Linked DNA regions of Daphnia pulex. The protein of the gene in region 1 purifies or fractionates together with the protein of each later gene. This does not show direct contact. Links are inferred from orthologs where the notes say so. Each region holds a gene or a part of one and is shown on either strand. Other genes may lie near its edges.

Region 1 (6,921 bases):
AGGTCCAGCAATAGGATCTGTGTCAGTCTCCTCGTACTCCACATCAGGGCGAAGTGGAGTGCATTGTGGCAACTCATATTGAATTAATTTTTTTTGAACAACAAGCCTTGTTTCACTAACATTCCTAACATTATAACTTTCGGGGGTTTTTAATGCCTTGGATTTCTTTTTTGGTAATTTCCAATGTTGTCCTTGAGTTGAAATTCTTGCAGTTGTAAATCTTTCGTTGTTTCTTGATAAGCTGTCATCCCTTGGACGCTTCACAGCCTTGCGCTCATTAGTGTCTTTACTACTATTTACTAGGATTGCTAGGTCACGAATTTTCACATAGCAGTTGCCAAGTACTTGTTCTTTCGCCTTTGCGTGGAATTTCTCGGGAATCGCACTCAAGTCAATATGAACCATTGGTAGTGAGGATTCAAAGCGTTCGACCACTTCATCTGGCATTTCCCCCCATCCAGGAAATTCATTTGTCAAAAGAGTTTCATTATTTGAATTTAAGCTGGCACGGGAATCGGGACGCCGATAGCTGTTAGAGGCTGATGACTCCATTTTTAAAACACTAATAAATGTTTATACGTGGCTATTCATGACGCCTCATAAACACACAACTAGAAGAGCATAACTAAAACTCGCAAAAGGCGCTCGGAGACCATAAGAAAATCGCCATTTTGTCGGCTGCTATACCCCTTTGTCCGCAACGTTTTCGCCCCCTACTGGCACGTTTTTTTGGGTTTTTTTTTGTTCAAACTCATAAAATGGGGACCTGTTGCGAGTTTGTTGTCCAACCCAAATAGGTCTACGTGGGGGAGAGGGTAAGTAAATAGTTAATCCGCGAGTAAAACTCCTGAAACTTATACGGGTAGGGGGAGGTAAAGCACAAATAAAATCGATCTTTGAGATAAAAAGAAATCTTTGTGATAAAAAGAAATTCGTAAAAATAAATAAATTAAACAACTATATTAACTTCATGTAAGTACCTTGTATTGCACAGTTTGCTCGTTTTAATAATGGATGAAATAGGTGGAAAGTCGGAAGATCCAGGCATTCGTAAGTAGTTGAGCTTTTTGTGTAAGTAAACATTTTAAAAAGCAAGTAAAAATTCAAGAAAAAAAAGGACGATTAGGGTTCGCTAAGTTAGTCAGCGCGGAAATGTCTGTGCGTGTTAACCATAGTAGGATGGATAGAGAATGTTTCAGTTTTAAAGGATATAGATTTTTTTTTTGTGCTGTCCCAAGTGAAGGAAAATTCGGGGGATCGAAATCAACAAAAAATATTGACATGCTCCCAAGTTTTTTCATTCAATCAATTCTACATAATTAGCTGGAAAAAGACCATAGGTCCCGTCCGGACCAACTCCTTGCCACCAACCTACAACACAAGAAAAATTAATTAACTGGAGAAACGTTTAAATGAAATCCAGTAATGCTTACCTTCATCAATTTGATCAATATTGGTTATAATATCTCCAGGGTCAAAAGATATTTCTCCAGGCTCACCTATCAGTTACAAATATTAAATCATTATACATTCCTAAAGAGCACGTACTTTACAATGATATTACCTGCTTGATAATCGTAAAGGGCCCGGGCTCTTATACCGAAACCATTGACTTCATTATCAATGAAATTATCTGCCTGAACTTGTTTCACAATCTCTTGAGGAGGCGATTCCCATTCTTGTTCTTCTTCGTCATTAACATCTTCGTAATCTTGATTGGCATCGTCAAGCATAGCTGCAATAGGTGAAATAGGGGCCGTTTCGAGCTGCTCAGTGGGCGGAGGTGATGAGGGTAATTCAGGGGGAGCATCGGCAAATTCGGGTGCTGGTGGGACAATAACGGCTGGTGTAGGCGTTTCAAAGATCCATTCGTTCTTCATTGGTGGCGGTGGTGACGATATGGAAGAAGAATGGCCATTCGAGGAATTATTAGCATAAAAGTTAGTTTGAATCGAAGTTTGGCGGACAACATTAGGGGTAGGAGAGGCGGGTGATGGGGAAACAGGAGACGGAGATACAGAATTAGGGGATGGTGGCCATTTAGCACCAACTTTGTTCGGAGCACTCGGGGTTGGGCTTGGGGATGACACATTGGAACTGCTGCTTCTTCTTGATATTGAAAGCTGACCAGCAGAAGTATTTTGTTCAAAGATAGCTTTTGCGTCAATGCTGCGCTGTTTAATCAGAGACTGAGCCTCGTTATTTCTCTGTCGGCGTAGAATTTCACTACGCATTCGTCTTTCTTCATCATCTTTATCGTCATCTTGTTTCTGTTTGGCCCATTTAGCTTTTTCAGCCTCCTCTGAGGAAATACTGGCTTTTTCTTCCGCCTGTCGTAGCTCGGAAATACTTCGCATTCGAGCTAACACCTGATTCTCTCGAGCACGACTACCTTCCATCTGGATTGCAGAAATATTTAAATCAAATTTGTCTTCGAGTATGCAAAAAAAGACGTCTAATGTGTGACATACTTCTCTTTTCTTTAATTCTTCTTCACGACGCTTAGACTCTTCCTCTTTTCGTCGCTGTTCCTCCAATTGGCGTTTTTTCTCTTCTTCTTCTTCCTGTGCCCAAAAGCTATCACGAGCTTTTGCATCTATCTCTTGTGTGGGATTTACTCTTTTGTAAATAGTTCCCTGAATATTTGTAATGAAAAAATGTCATTCATCAACTAAAAAAATATTTAATTATAATCTTGACATACCACAGGGCCAGTTGGTTCATCCTCTCTGGAATCCAAACGACTAAAATTATAAATCGACCCTGTAGATTTGGCCACTTTGTCTACGATTGCTTCTTCATCAACCTCGTCTTCAGTTCGCGCATTTACCGTGATGTGAATTCCTTTAAAGAACTTTTGAATGGGTCCTAAATGATTGGTGCAAGTTCCTTTACGGATACCAGGAGCACTCTCACCTTGCTAAAAAATACAAAAAAAAAAAACCGAGATAGTTAAACAATGGCAAAATGGAGTTATAGTGAAAAGACAAGTATAAACAAGAAATACCCAGTTGATGAGGACATATTTGGGAAGACTTGTTTTTGGGTCTTTCACCCTGCAGAATGCATACATTATTTTACAGCTGTTCAAGTCTTCTGCCAGTTCTGTGATACCACCATCTAAATAAATTATTATAATTATAAGTATGCTGATTAAAGTTCCAATAGGATTCAAACATGTTAATTCTATGCATAGAAAAATAATAAATGGTGATCATAACTGCACATTACCTCCTTTTCCAACAAGTTTCAGGTCATAAGACTGTCCTTCGTAGGTAAATAATGCCCAATCTGTTGGATTCTTATCGTCAACAACTTCTTTCCAGGCTTTAAGCATTTCATCCTGATACTTGACTAGGTTAAGTGCCATTTCCAAGCAGATTTATTTGTTGTGTTTCACTTAGAACAACACTGAAATGTACAAAAAAATCAAAACAATAAGTTATAAAACTCCATTTTACAACTCTAATAAGAAAAAATGTTGTGAAATTAAAATTCTACGAGGAATAATATTTTGGTAGCCGCCCAAGCTGCTAACTTACAAAGGAATGTTTCACTCGATTAAAGAAGAAAGAGCCGGCCTTAATGCATCACCATAAAACCTCGAACTAATCTCAATATCGTGACGATAGCATAATGACGTGTTCTGAACGAGATAACAGAAATATTCCACTCACATTTTCCTCAAAGACGTCAAATCCAGCAGAAACGTAGTGGCTTCCCAACGAAATATAACTATCACAAATTGTTGGCTAATTGTCACCTGCTGAAGAAATCACAGCAACCTTCCTTCTCCTTTGTAATTGCTTTGACGTTTATGCGAGTGGATTTTCAGAGGAGACGGCGAACTCTCTTCTCATCTGGCTTAGTGGCCTGACGGACTGTGACTGGGGCGGGCAGAGCGGAGCGGGAGCGGGGCATTTTCAGTTTCAGAATTCATGGAAATAATCTGTCATGCGAAAAAGAAGCTGGAAATTCTAGTTGCACAACACAGCAGCGCGCGCGCATCTATTCAACAATCAAGTTCACTTATTCCTTAGAGCATTAAAGGAGAAAGACGAACGGAATTTTGGGGGTTTATTCTAAAAGCTTTTTCAAAAAATTTGCACCGCTTCACCAAATTCATCTCTCAGCAAAATATCTCACGCTATTCCAACAGGATTAGTGGAGCGTAGTAAGGCTTTATTCACTGCATAATCAAGTTGTTGAACGAAAAAATATTAAGATTGATTTCAGTAAACTACTTAAAATTTAAAAGAGTTGACCGACAATATTTCACAGTTATGTGACAATGCAGATATTAAGTATATACGTTTTCCGAATACTAGCTTCGCTTATCTTCATGGTATATCGCTCGAGGGACATTATTCCTGTCACTGTACTCACAATGAATGGGAGAACACTGTTGGAATAATTGTTTGAACACGACTCACCCTAGGGGAAGATAAAAAATAAAGAATTCTTCTTTCAAATGTGATAAAGTGGCCACCAGTCGCCACCATCCTTTTAAAATGATTTGATATGGTTTACATGCATCTCAGTAGATTTCCTGGAAAATGGCGATGTTAACGTGAGATATTAGCAATTTCCCAGTTTGCATCACAAGAAGATTAGTGTCTAGAAATTAATTGTAGGTAATTAATGAGGTATACCATTAAGCTAATTGCTCTAGATAGAAATGACTCAAATGAGAAGTTTGGTAACAAAAAAATCAAAATGGTTTCTTTGCAAGGAGAGGTCGATTCCGACGCCATATTTCCCTTATCTTGCTGTGAACGTCGTCCTTAGCAACTTTACACAAATCCTTGTTTGCTTAAAAAGTTGGACGTTTCTAGAAAAAAAAGATACTTGCCTTCTCCCAAGCAATCAATACAACTCAGTGTGGTCGGATAAGGACCGAGAAGAGCTGGCCTTATTTTGCTTCATCACCCTCAACTTTTGATCTTGGGTTTGCAAAATCGATGGCGTGCGGCAAGTTCGTACAATACCAATAGTTTGGAGGAGAGTGTGTCCCCAATACTATCCATTCTACATACATTGAGTCTAAACAATACATGAATGATACAGCATCATCGATTGGGAGATCGACGAGAGCAAAGGACAATACATTCAGTCAATATAATCGAAACGCATGGTTCCTATTGGATCGATGTCTATTGGATCAAAGGGAAATGACGATTTTAGATAATGCTTCCGTCCGCTTCCGTCTGAGCAGAGCATGTGAAATTTGATCATCCAGTTGATGAAACTACAAGAGACACTCGCGACAGAGAATTCCAATAATCAATATGATGAAGAAATATAATATAGTTACTGTATATCAGCGATCAGTTGCAAACGCACATGAGCGCACTGATGACCAATAAGGCAATAACATATCGAATTATCAAGGGATTCCCCTAAAAAAAAACAAGTGTAATTACGACTACTATATGTTCTGGAGCGTTATAGGTAATCTTAATCTTAATTAAACGACCAACGACAAATAAGTGCAATTTGCTTGTGAGGAAATTTGGTACTATGGCGCAACCTTTTTTTTAAATAAACGAGCGTAACATAACTGACCTTTGAGTTTTCTTAGGATTTAAAATAGTATTAAAAAGAATAGCCTCACGCTCGATTGTTGATGGGTCTTTCACTCTTTCTTTCAATTTAGCTCACACAGCCTCACTGTAGTATTCAGACACACCACAAGGAGCGCTGTATGTCTGTACTCTTAGGAGTTGTGGATCAGTGTTAGGGCCTTTAATTGTATCTCAGCGAAAGTCGAGGCGGAATTTGGAGTAAGTTAACCGGCCTCATTTTCTAAATTTGTGAAACACATTTCTTGAATGTTTTTTTTTCTTTCAACGTGTGTCACCTAGTATTAACTTAACTCGGTATACAAGCTAACGGTACAAAAGCTAGAATTCAAGAAGTCCAACAGAATCAGCAATTTGTTTCGATTCTCCTATTAATCCTATTAATAATACGTCGATGTTTTAGAAATGAAGCCTGTAGAAATTCTCGCTAACTTACATCCAGCTTTTACTTTGTAAAGGTTGTCAGGGGTTGTCAGACCCAACAAACGTGACAGTCTCATTGTTGTTTGACCAACAAAACAAAAAGATTTTTAATGTGAGTTTTCAGCAATCAATGTTATTTTTTATTTGATTTTGAATGCCCTTCTTTCTTCTTATAGATGGATGGTCACAATAACCAGCAACCACCGTTTCCATTGTATTATGGATACCAATATGCTCAGCCTCAGCCCAACAATTTCCCTCATGCAATGCAATATAGTTTTCCTCCTCCCCCATTCCATGAAATGAATTTTCCACCCCCTATACCTTATGGGATATACCCACCACCACCACCACAACCATTTGCAATTGGCCCACATGCACAACAAACAAGTTACCCACCAGCAATTTCCCATTCTTTTGTGCCAAACTATCCTCCATTGAATCAGTATCCCCAGGCTGCCCCGTATCTCTCAGCCCAGCAACGTCCATCAGCTTGCAGTTCTATGCCCACAAGTAACACTCACCCACAAACTAATAAAGTTTCAGGATCATATTCAAGTCATAATTCCACATCGAAAAGACCTTTACCTATTAAATCAAGCCAAAAGCCTCACTCCAGTTCTTCATCTTCTACAAGAACAGAGTATAAGAAGTCACATCAACATTCTGCTCATGAGGATGAACCTATCACCCCACCGGACGAATATTCTAGCCTAACTCCTGAAGAAATTATTGAAAATGAGAAGAAAACATGGACTCGTTGTGCGCCTGCAGATCTGTTCTATGCTCGGGATCTGGACAATCCTAAATTGATGCGTGGCACCGACAAATTGAAAGCTACTATTGATCAATTTCGCATTAAGCTGCTAGAGCGTGGCGACAAAGCTCGTACAATGCAGCCCAAATTTGATTACCC
Region 2 (6,863 bases), on another chromosome or scaffold:
CATATTGAAACAAAGTCAAAATTAACAACGGGATATTTAATTTGATTCGTAATGATTTTTCCTTTTAGTGAAAAACTGGAATGGAAAAAACTATCATCTTCCCTCCTGTGTGATTCAAGAAAAGAGCAAGGTTAACCAAGTGCGTGGTGGTATAGACTGCGGAGCGCCATATTCTTCAGCAGTAAAGAAAACGAAAATGAAAGGAGACAGAGATGGGCAAAGGAAATAAGGAAAAAAAAAGGTTCAGTTGAAAGCAAACGGATGTACGGCTCAGTACTCAATAATTTATTCTATTCACAACTGAAAGTCTATGCAGCTGTATATACCGTAGGCGGGTTTGTGACATGAGGTCCGGCAATTCATTAAAACGTTTTATGTGATTCGACTATAAGCAGCTAGCAGCAACAAGCCACTTAAAGTCAGTTTACATAAAAACACTTGGAAATGCTATTTCATAAAACTAATTCATCGCTTTTCTCACTTTCAACGTTTTACCTCACTCAATAGCGTAAGCTTGCTTCAAATAACACAACCTACTTGATACACGTTAGGGGCTTCTAAAGTACTTGATTTACACAAAATAGTTTTGAAATTATATTTCTCACCTCTCAAGTGACTATTATAATCTCGCTTTCTGCTGTTAAACGGACTTGAGATTGCCATCACACTAGGCAGAAATAAGATAAACGATTTTATTTTTTTCACCATTTACCTTTGTATTAGCTTTTAAAATAAGACTAATGCAGAATACACCATCAGGTAACATCACTTGAGGCAATCATTTTACCTCTGAAGAAAGTGGATTACCGGATCTTGAAAAGGCGTTGGATATCTGTTCTCAACCAAAGAGCCGTATGCCGTAAATCCGACCATTTTCAAAATATTCCCTTGTTATCCCAATATCTTGATACATACTAAAGCAACCCGAAAAATATCAGAGTCTAATTCACGCCAAACTGCCTTGATACTCACATTGCCGTTTGTGACTGGGAGAATGATTACGTGTTGACTCTCGGCTATTTGGAATGACATCGTCGAACAGCCCACCTCAGCAATCCAACAAAAAACTTGAAATTGTGGAATGATATTTGTACACTCCAAATTGGATGTAGCCGGAGCTAGAGGAGTTGTAGGCTAGTTTAACATTACAATATCAGTATTAACGTTTTAATGGACGGTTATCATATCATCCATAGTATTCTTTAAAAATATTAAGGTTATTTCAATGATAATATTAACCTTAAAAATTATGGACAGCAATTTAACGCAAGAGAATAGGCGGTTCGATCACTTAACCATCATGTGCTTTCAACTTTCAAGTTTCAAGTTTTCAACGCCTTTCGTGCATACTGCAAAGTCCTACGGTAAGGAGAACGTTTAGGAGTTAAAACAATTCCGATCGTGTTATCCACCGTGTTCATCCGCTCGCTACTCGATATGAATGTGTACAGGTATGAACACCTTATGAATAAATTTAATTGAATCTTATAGGCGCTTGAAGGGTCAAGATGAAAAATGTAAATGCTCAAGCACTAGCTTATTAATATTATTGTTATTACTGGGCAATGCCTTTAGAGTTATCTATTCTGTAGCAATTTGTTACAATGTATGTAGCTCATTTATTTGTTTCTCGGTACTATATCGATGGAGTAAATAATTACCGAAATGAACTCGTTATTAACGACTTTCGTTTGCGGTTCCGCAATCCGATACGATGCGTCCACAAGGTGCACTCTCTCCCTCTATTCATATCAACGCTGAAATAATTGTTTATATTCTGATTTAGACATACAGTAGCCGATTCTTGTAGCGTATTCCAGATTTGACTCATGAACATTGTTTGTTTAATGCATTTGATTAGTTTCTTTTTTTCATCTGATATATTCGCAATTATTTTTTGGTCATTCTGCGATTCTCAATATATCATTAATGCCACCGTCGTCTTTCCCAGCGATAATCTATTAATATTCTATGCAGCAGCATAGTCAATTCAGGAAGATTTCAACCTCTCCTAGTTCGGCGCGTTAATACTATTTCCTCTGATTAACTGGTTGAACATTAGTCTGCTCTGCCCAGAGTTTAATCTTGAAAATGAGTACTCACGCCTACACTTCATCCACTTGATATCATGATGTACACGATAAAAATCATGTTTATTTATCATAGTGGACGAATGGGGGGATGATTTCATTATCAATATATTAAAATTTAATTGCCTCTTATAGTCGTTGGCAGTGTGAAGATGAAAACGTCGTAGCTCAAGCACTGTCTTGGCAATATCGTTTTTATAACTGGAACTATGCCTTAAGAAGAATCATATCCATCGCAATGTGTTACAATGAATGTAGCTCATTTATTGGTTTCGCGAAACATACCATGGAGTAATTAATGACCGAGGTTAACTCGCTATTAGCGACTTTCGTGTGCGGTGACTTTATATACATGTGGGGAGTGCTGCAGTGCAAACAAACAAATGCATCACAAACAAACAAATGCATCACAAATTGCAGTTGGACATCCTTGTAAAAATAGCTCGCCATCTACCGACCGAATTTAAAAGTTTGCACAGTGTTGTGTTGTGACGGATTGTACGGTTTGTACCTTGCCGTTGTCAATAATGGCGGAGGAGCCGTCCAGCTGCATAATATCTTCCGTCCCGCTGCAGCAACAGTTTCACTCAATCCATGGAACTTTAGTTCAGCTATCGGAGAACGGCTTTTCAGCCTTCCGTCTCCGTCCTAGTCACGAATTCAACCAAGGGCTGGTTTTCTCCAGTCGGTCGTTAAAGGACGAGCAGGTCTTTGAAGTCCGGATCGACCGCAAGGTTTGTTATTATTAAACAAAGTGCTACTCAATTTGTTTAATCGAGAGAGAATAAAGAGTAAAAGTGCATTGTTCATTGGATTTTGCAGGTTCACTCATGGACAGGTAGTCTACAAATTGGAATTACCACACAAGATCCAGCTACCTTCCACCCCGCCCCTCCTCCAAATGCCCTAGATATTGTCAATAAATCATGGGTACATTCGTTCTTGAATAGGTAATTCAAAAAATTAAGCACTTTTTTCATGTTCCAGGTTTTGTCTGGATGCAATCTGTTTGAAAATGGTAAAATTATCGTAGAAGACTATGGCCCAAATTTGGATGAATTGAGTGAGGGAGACCGAGTTGGTGTAATGCGCACCTCAGAAGTATGTTTACCTTCTGTGCATGTTGTTTTAAATTTTGTTTTATTTTAAAATTTTTTGTTCTGTTTAGGGAGATTTGGTTTTCTATGTTAATTCATTTGCTCAAGGAGTAGCTGTCTCAGGCATCCCTCAAACTATTTATGCTGTTGTCGATCTTTATGGCAAATGTGTTCAGGTTTCTATGATTAACCATAGTGAGACTCATTCACTACCTAGGCCATTATTAAGTAAGTTGTGAATCATATTCCTTACAAAGAACCTGAAAACATTCCTTGTTGTTGTCTCCAGCTTTGAGTTCAGTTATGATGGATAGCAATCAAGTAAATCAGGAAGAAGAATCTTGTAGTACTGCGAGTACACCAAGCGGTGCACTTCAGGATCGATTGCGGTTTCATCATCGGTGTGGCACAATGGTGAAACTTTCGGCTGGACAACGAACTGGCGAACGCAGGCGACCGCTAGACGAGTTTAATAACGGTTAGTTTATCTCCCAGCCAACAGTTTTGAAATTCTAAATGTGTAGCTATCCATTTTATTTTATAATTTTCAGGCGTAGTCATGACCCAACGTCCTCTTCTACCTGACGAGCTCTTTGAGATTCGTATCGATAGTTTAGTAGACAAATGGTCTGGCTCTATCGAGGTTGGAATTACAACTCACAACCCAGCTGCTCTGGACTTTCCTTCTACTATGACCAATCTTCGCAGCGGAACGGTACTCTTTTGAAATATCCTGCATGTTAATAACTTCTGCATTCCATTTTGGTTTTAAATTCTAATGGAGTCAAATTTAGATTATGATGTCTGGCTGTGGAATCTTGACCAATGGCAAAGGGACCCGTCGTGAGTACGGCCAATGCAACTTGGACGAGTTAGGCGAAGGGGACCGGATCGGACTCATACGCAAGACAAACGGGGATCTGCATTTTTACGTCAATGGTCGTGACCAGGGCGTTGCCGCGTCCAATGTACCAAATCCTGTGTGGGGTGTTGTGGATCTCTACGGGCGGACAGTCAGAGGTAATTTCATTTACTGTTTTTACAATTTTGTCTCCGTTTGTGTTAAAAAACTATGATGAATGTTCTCAATAGTTTCACTGATTGACCGGGAAGACGCCGTTAAACCTCCAACGAATGAGGCAGAAGAAGATGCTCCTGTGGTGGTGGAACAACTGCAGTTTCATATGCGGTGCGGTCTACACGCAGCTGTTGTGAATGGTGGAACGACAGGACATCGACCGAACGCACAAAGTGACTTTAATCACGGTGTCGTGTTGACTAGCCGACCTTTGAGGCCAGACGAATTGTTCGAAGTAGTGTTGGACAAAGTGGTTCTCAAATGGGCGGGTTCCATCGAGATTGGTGTCACGACTCAACGCCCCGAGGAGCTCGACTTTCCTGCCACAATGACCAACGTCCGTTCAGGCACTTGGATGATGACCGGCAACGGCGTGATGCACAATGGACTAACTATTTTGGACGATTATGGAACTTCGCTCGACCGTCTGGGCTCGGGAGATCGGGTCGGTGTGATACGACGTTCGAATGGGGTTTTACACTTCTTCGTCAACGGCGAAGATCAAGGTCCAGCGGCCGGCAATGTTCCAGAAAAGGTTTACGGAGTCGTGGATTTGTACGGCCAAGCAGCCCAAGTATCCATCGTCTCTCCTTCCCCGGCCACTCCGCTAACTGATTCTTCTCCCTATCCGTCCTATCTCTATCCGGCACCGTCTCATCTTCTGGCCCCTTTGGTCTCTCCCACCTCTTTGGCTGACTCCACGTACGCCCTCCCCACTTCATCGTCTTCTACTTCGGCGTCGTCAACGCTCATCCACACGGATTTAAGCTTTCACAGGTTACACGGCCGCAACACAACCTTGTCTAGCAATTGCCTTACGGCGAGTAGACCCAACGCGTTGTCAGAATTCAACGATGCCATCTGCATTACATCAAGGCCCTTGAGACCGGGGGAGGTGTTTGAAGTGATGATCGAAAAACTAGTTGAAAGGTGGTCTGGATCACTTGAACTTGGCGTAACATCCATCCGTCCTGAAAATTTGGATTTCCCTTCAACAATGACGGACATCACTTACGGAACGTGGATGCTCAGCGGTTCATCAGTGATGCAGGTGAAATAGCACAAAATGACGAACTCTTTCATCTTCATTTTTATTCATATTTGTTTTGTTTTTGTAGGATGGGACCATCACTCGAAACGGTTATCCACTCGACTTGGACGCTTTACAAGAAGGGAATCGAGTTGGGTTATTGCGCCATGCTGACGGAAGTTTACACTACTACCTGAACGACCAAGATCAAGGAGCAGCATGCTGGGGCGTGCCCCAGGATCTTTATGCCGTCATTGATTTGTATGGACAGTGCGCCCAAGTGTCGCTGGTCCACAGACCCCTTCAAGTATCCGGTATACCTACTAACCAACAGGAGGGAGATGCTACTCCAATGGACTCGACCGCCAGTGAACCAAGATGCATCCAGCCGCATCGTCATCGTATCTCACCTTATTGTGGTCGGGCTGTCACTCTGTCAGACGATGGTCGAACGGCCAAACGCGAAGATAAGGATTTCGAGAATGGGCTGGTGTTCAGCTTATTGCCGCTGCAACCAGAAGAGTCGTTTGATGTGCGCATCGATACCGTGTCTCAGCGCTGGGCTGGGTCCCTTGCCGTCGGCCTCACTACTTTCCATCCGCAAGAAGGAGCCGTGATTCCTTCAAGTTTAAGTGGTCTGGAGTCTTCGTGGTACATCTCCAGTTCGAGTGTTTTCCAGTCGGGACGCAAAATTCTGGCCTCATGTCTACCCATGGAACATTTGGCCGTTGGGGATGTCGTTAGCATCCGTCGAACGGTGGAATCCACTCTTCATTTCGCTGTGAACGGCCGGGACTTGTCCGTCTGCGTTCGCAACATTCCTCATGGCGCGTACGTTGTGATGGATCTACACGGAATGATTCAGTCTGTAAGGATATTTTTCCATTCAGAAGAAAAATTGGATCTTTGGTTTTAACATTAAAATTTGATTTTTTCTCATTAGGTGAGTGTCAAAAGCATTGGAAAACTTGGGTCGTTACCGGAATCGCTTGCGACAACTCCAGCCGTTTTGGCAACCAATTCGTTACCAACGGCAGGTGGAGCTCTTCCGTTGTCACTGAGCCAGCTAGCACTGCGCGAAGCGATGCAAGGAATCCAAAGTGCGCTGAGTAGTCGCTTCGGCAGTGCATTCAGTCACCAGCAACGCTTTCACGATCATCACGGTCGCAACGTTGTCTTAAAGAATAACGGCCAGACAGCCCAGCGAACGGCCAGCTACAATCAGGTACTTTTAATTCAAAAAATGTAAAAATTGAAGCAATCTTAATAAATTGGATTTCATTTACCCTCCGTAGGGCCTGGTATATTCTAAGGATCCACTTATACCTGGAGGCTGCTTTCAAGTTAAGATTGAACAATTGGACGAACGTTGGACAGGCTCGTTGATGCTTGGAGTGACGTCAATTCCGCCTGAAAAAATGCCATCGACTCCGCCTACCTGTGCGCTTCTACTTAAGCGACCTAGTTGGGTCATCAGTGGACGGACCCTGCATCAAGGTGGCCGTAAGATACGATCCGACCTCAAGTTTGATTTGAACGAATTGCGAGTTGGTCAGAGCGCCGGTGTT

What was found.
Region 2: the proteins of drebrin-like protein B (region 1) and neuralized-like protein 4 purify together in Homo sapiens (co-immunoprecipitation; 4 studies listed by BioGRID and IntAct, counting the BioPlex papers as one, with this or other methods). This does not show direct contact. The link is inferred for Daphnia pulex from reciprocal best matches to the Homo sapiens genes DBNL and NEURL4.

The regions. Positions count from the first base shown.
Region 1 is NC_060020.1:4,127,738-4,134,658, reverse strand, and holds drebrin-like protein B, read right to left. Parts: upstream 4,004-6,921; 5' UTR 3,678-4,003; exon of another isoform or gene 3,543-3,677; intron 3,412-3,542; 5' UTR 3,371-3,411; coding exon 3,232-3,370; intron 3,121-3,231; coding exon 3,008-3,120; intron 2,921-3,007; coding exon 2,705-2,920; intron 2,637-2,704; coding exon 2,472-2,636; intron 2,400-2,471; coding exon 1,565-2,399; intron 1,500-1,564; coding exon 1,434-1,499; intron 1,372-1,433; coding exon 1,298-1,371; 3' UTR 963-1,297; downstream 1-962. Other genes in the region: uncharacterized protein LOC124193009, read right to left, coding at 1-552; ribonuclease 3-like, read left to right, coding at 6,182-6,921. UniProt on the Homo sapiens protein: Adapter protein that binds F-actin and DNM1, and thereby plays a role in receptor-mediated endocytosis.
Region 2 is NC_060025.1:7,232,882-7,239,744, forward strand, and holds the start of neuralized-like protein 4, read left to right. Parts: upstream 1-2,578; 5' UTR 2,579-2,617; coding exon 2,618-2,824; intron 2,825-2,912; coding exon 2,913-3,020; intron 3,021-3,077; coding exon 3,078-3,191; intron 3,192-3,258; coding exon 3,259-3,415; intron 3,416-3,476; coding exon 3,477-3,665; intron 3,666-3,738; coding exon 3,739-3,902; intron 3,903-3,981; coding exon 3,982-4,207; intron 4,208-4,279; coding exon 4,280-5,316; intron 5,317-5,383; coding exon 5,384-6,163; intron 6,164-6,238; coding exon 6,239-6,520; intron 6,521-6,590; coding exon 6,591-6,863. UniProt on the Homo sapiens protein: Promotes CCP110 ubiquitination and proteasome-dependent degradation. By counteracting accumulation of CP110, maintains normal centriolar homeostasis and preventing formation of ectopic microtubular organizing centers.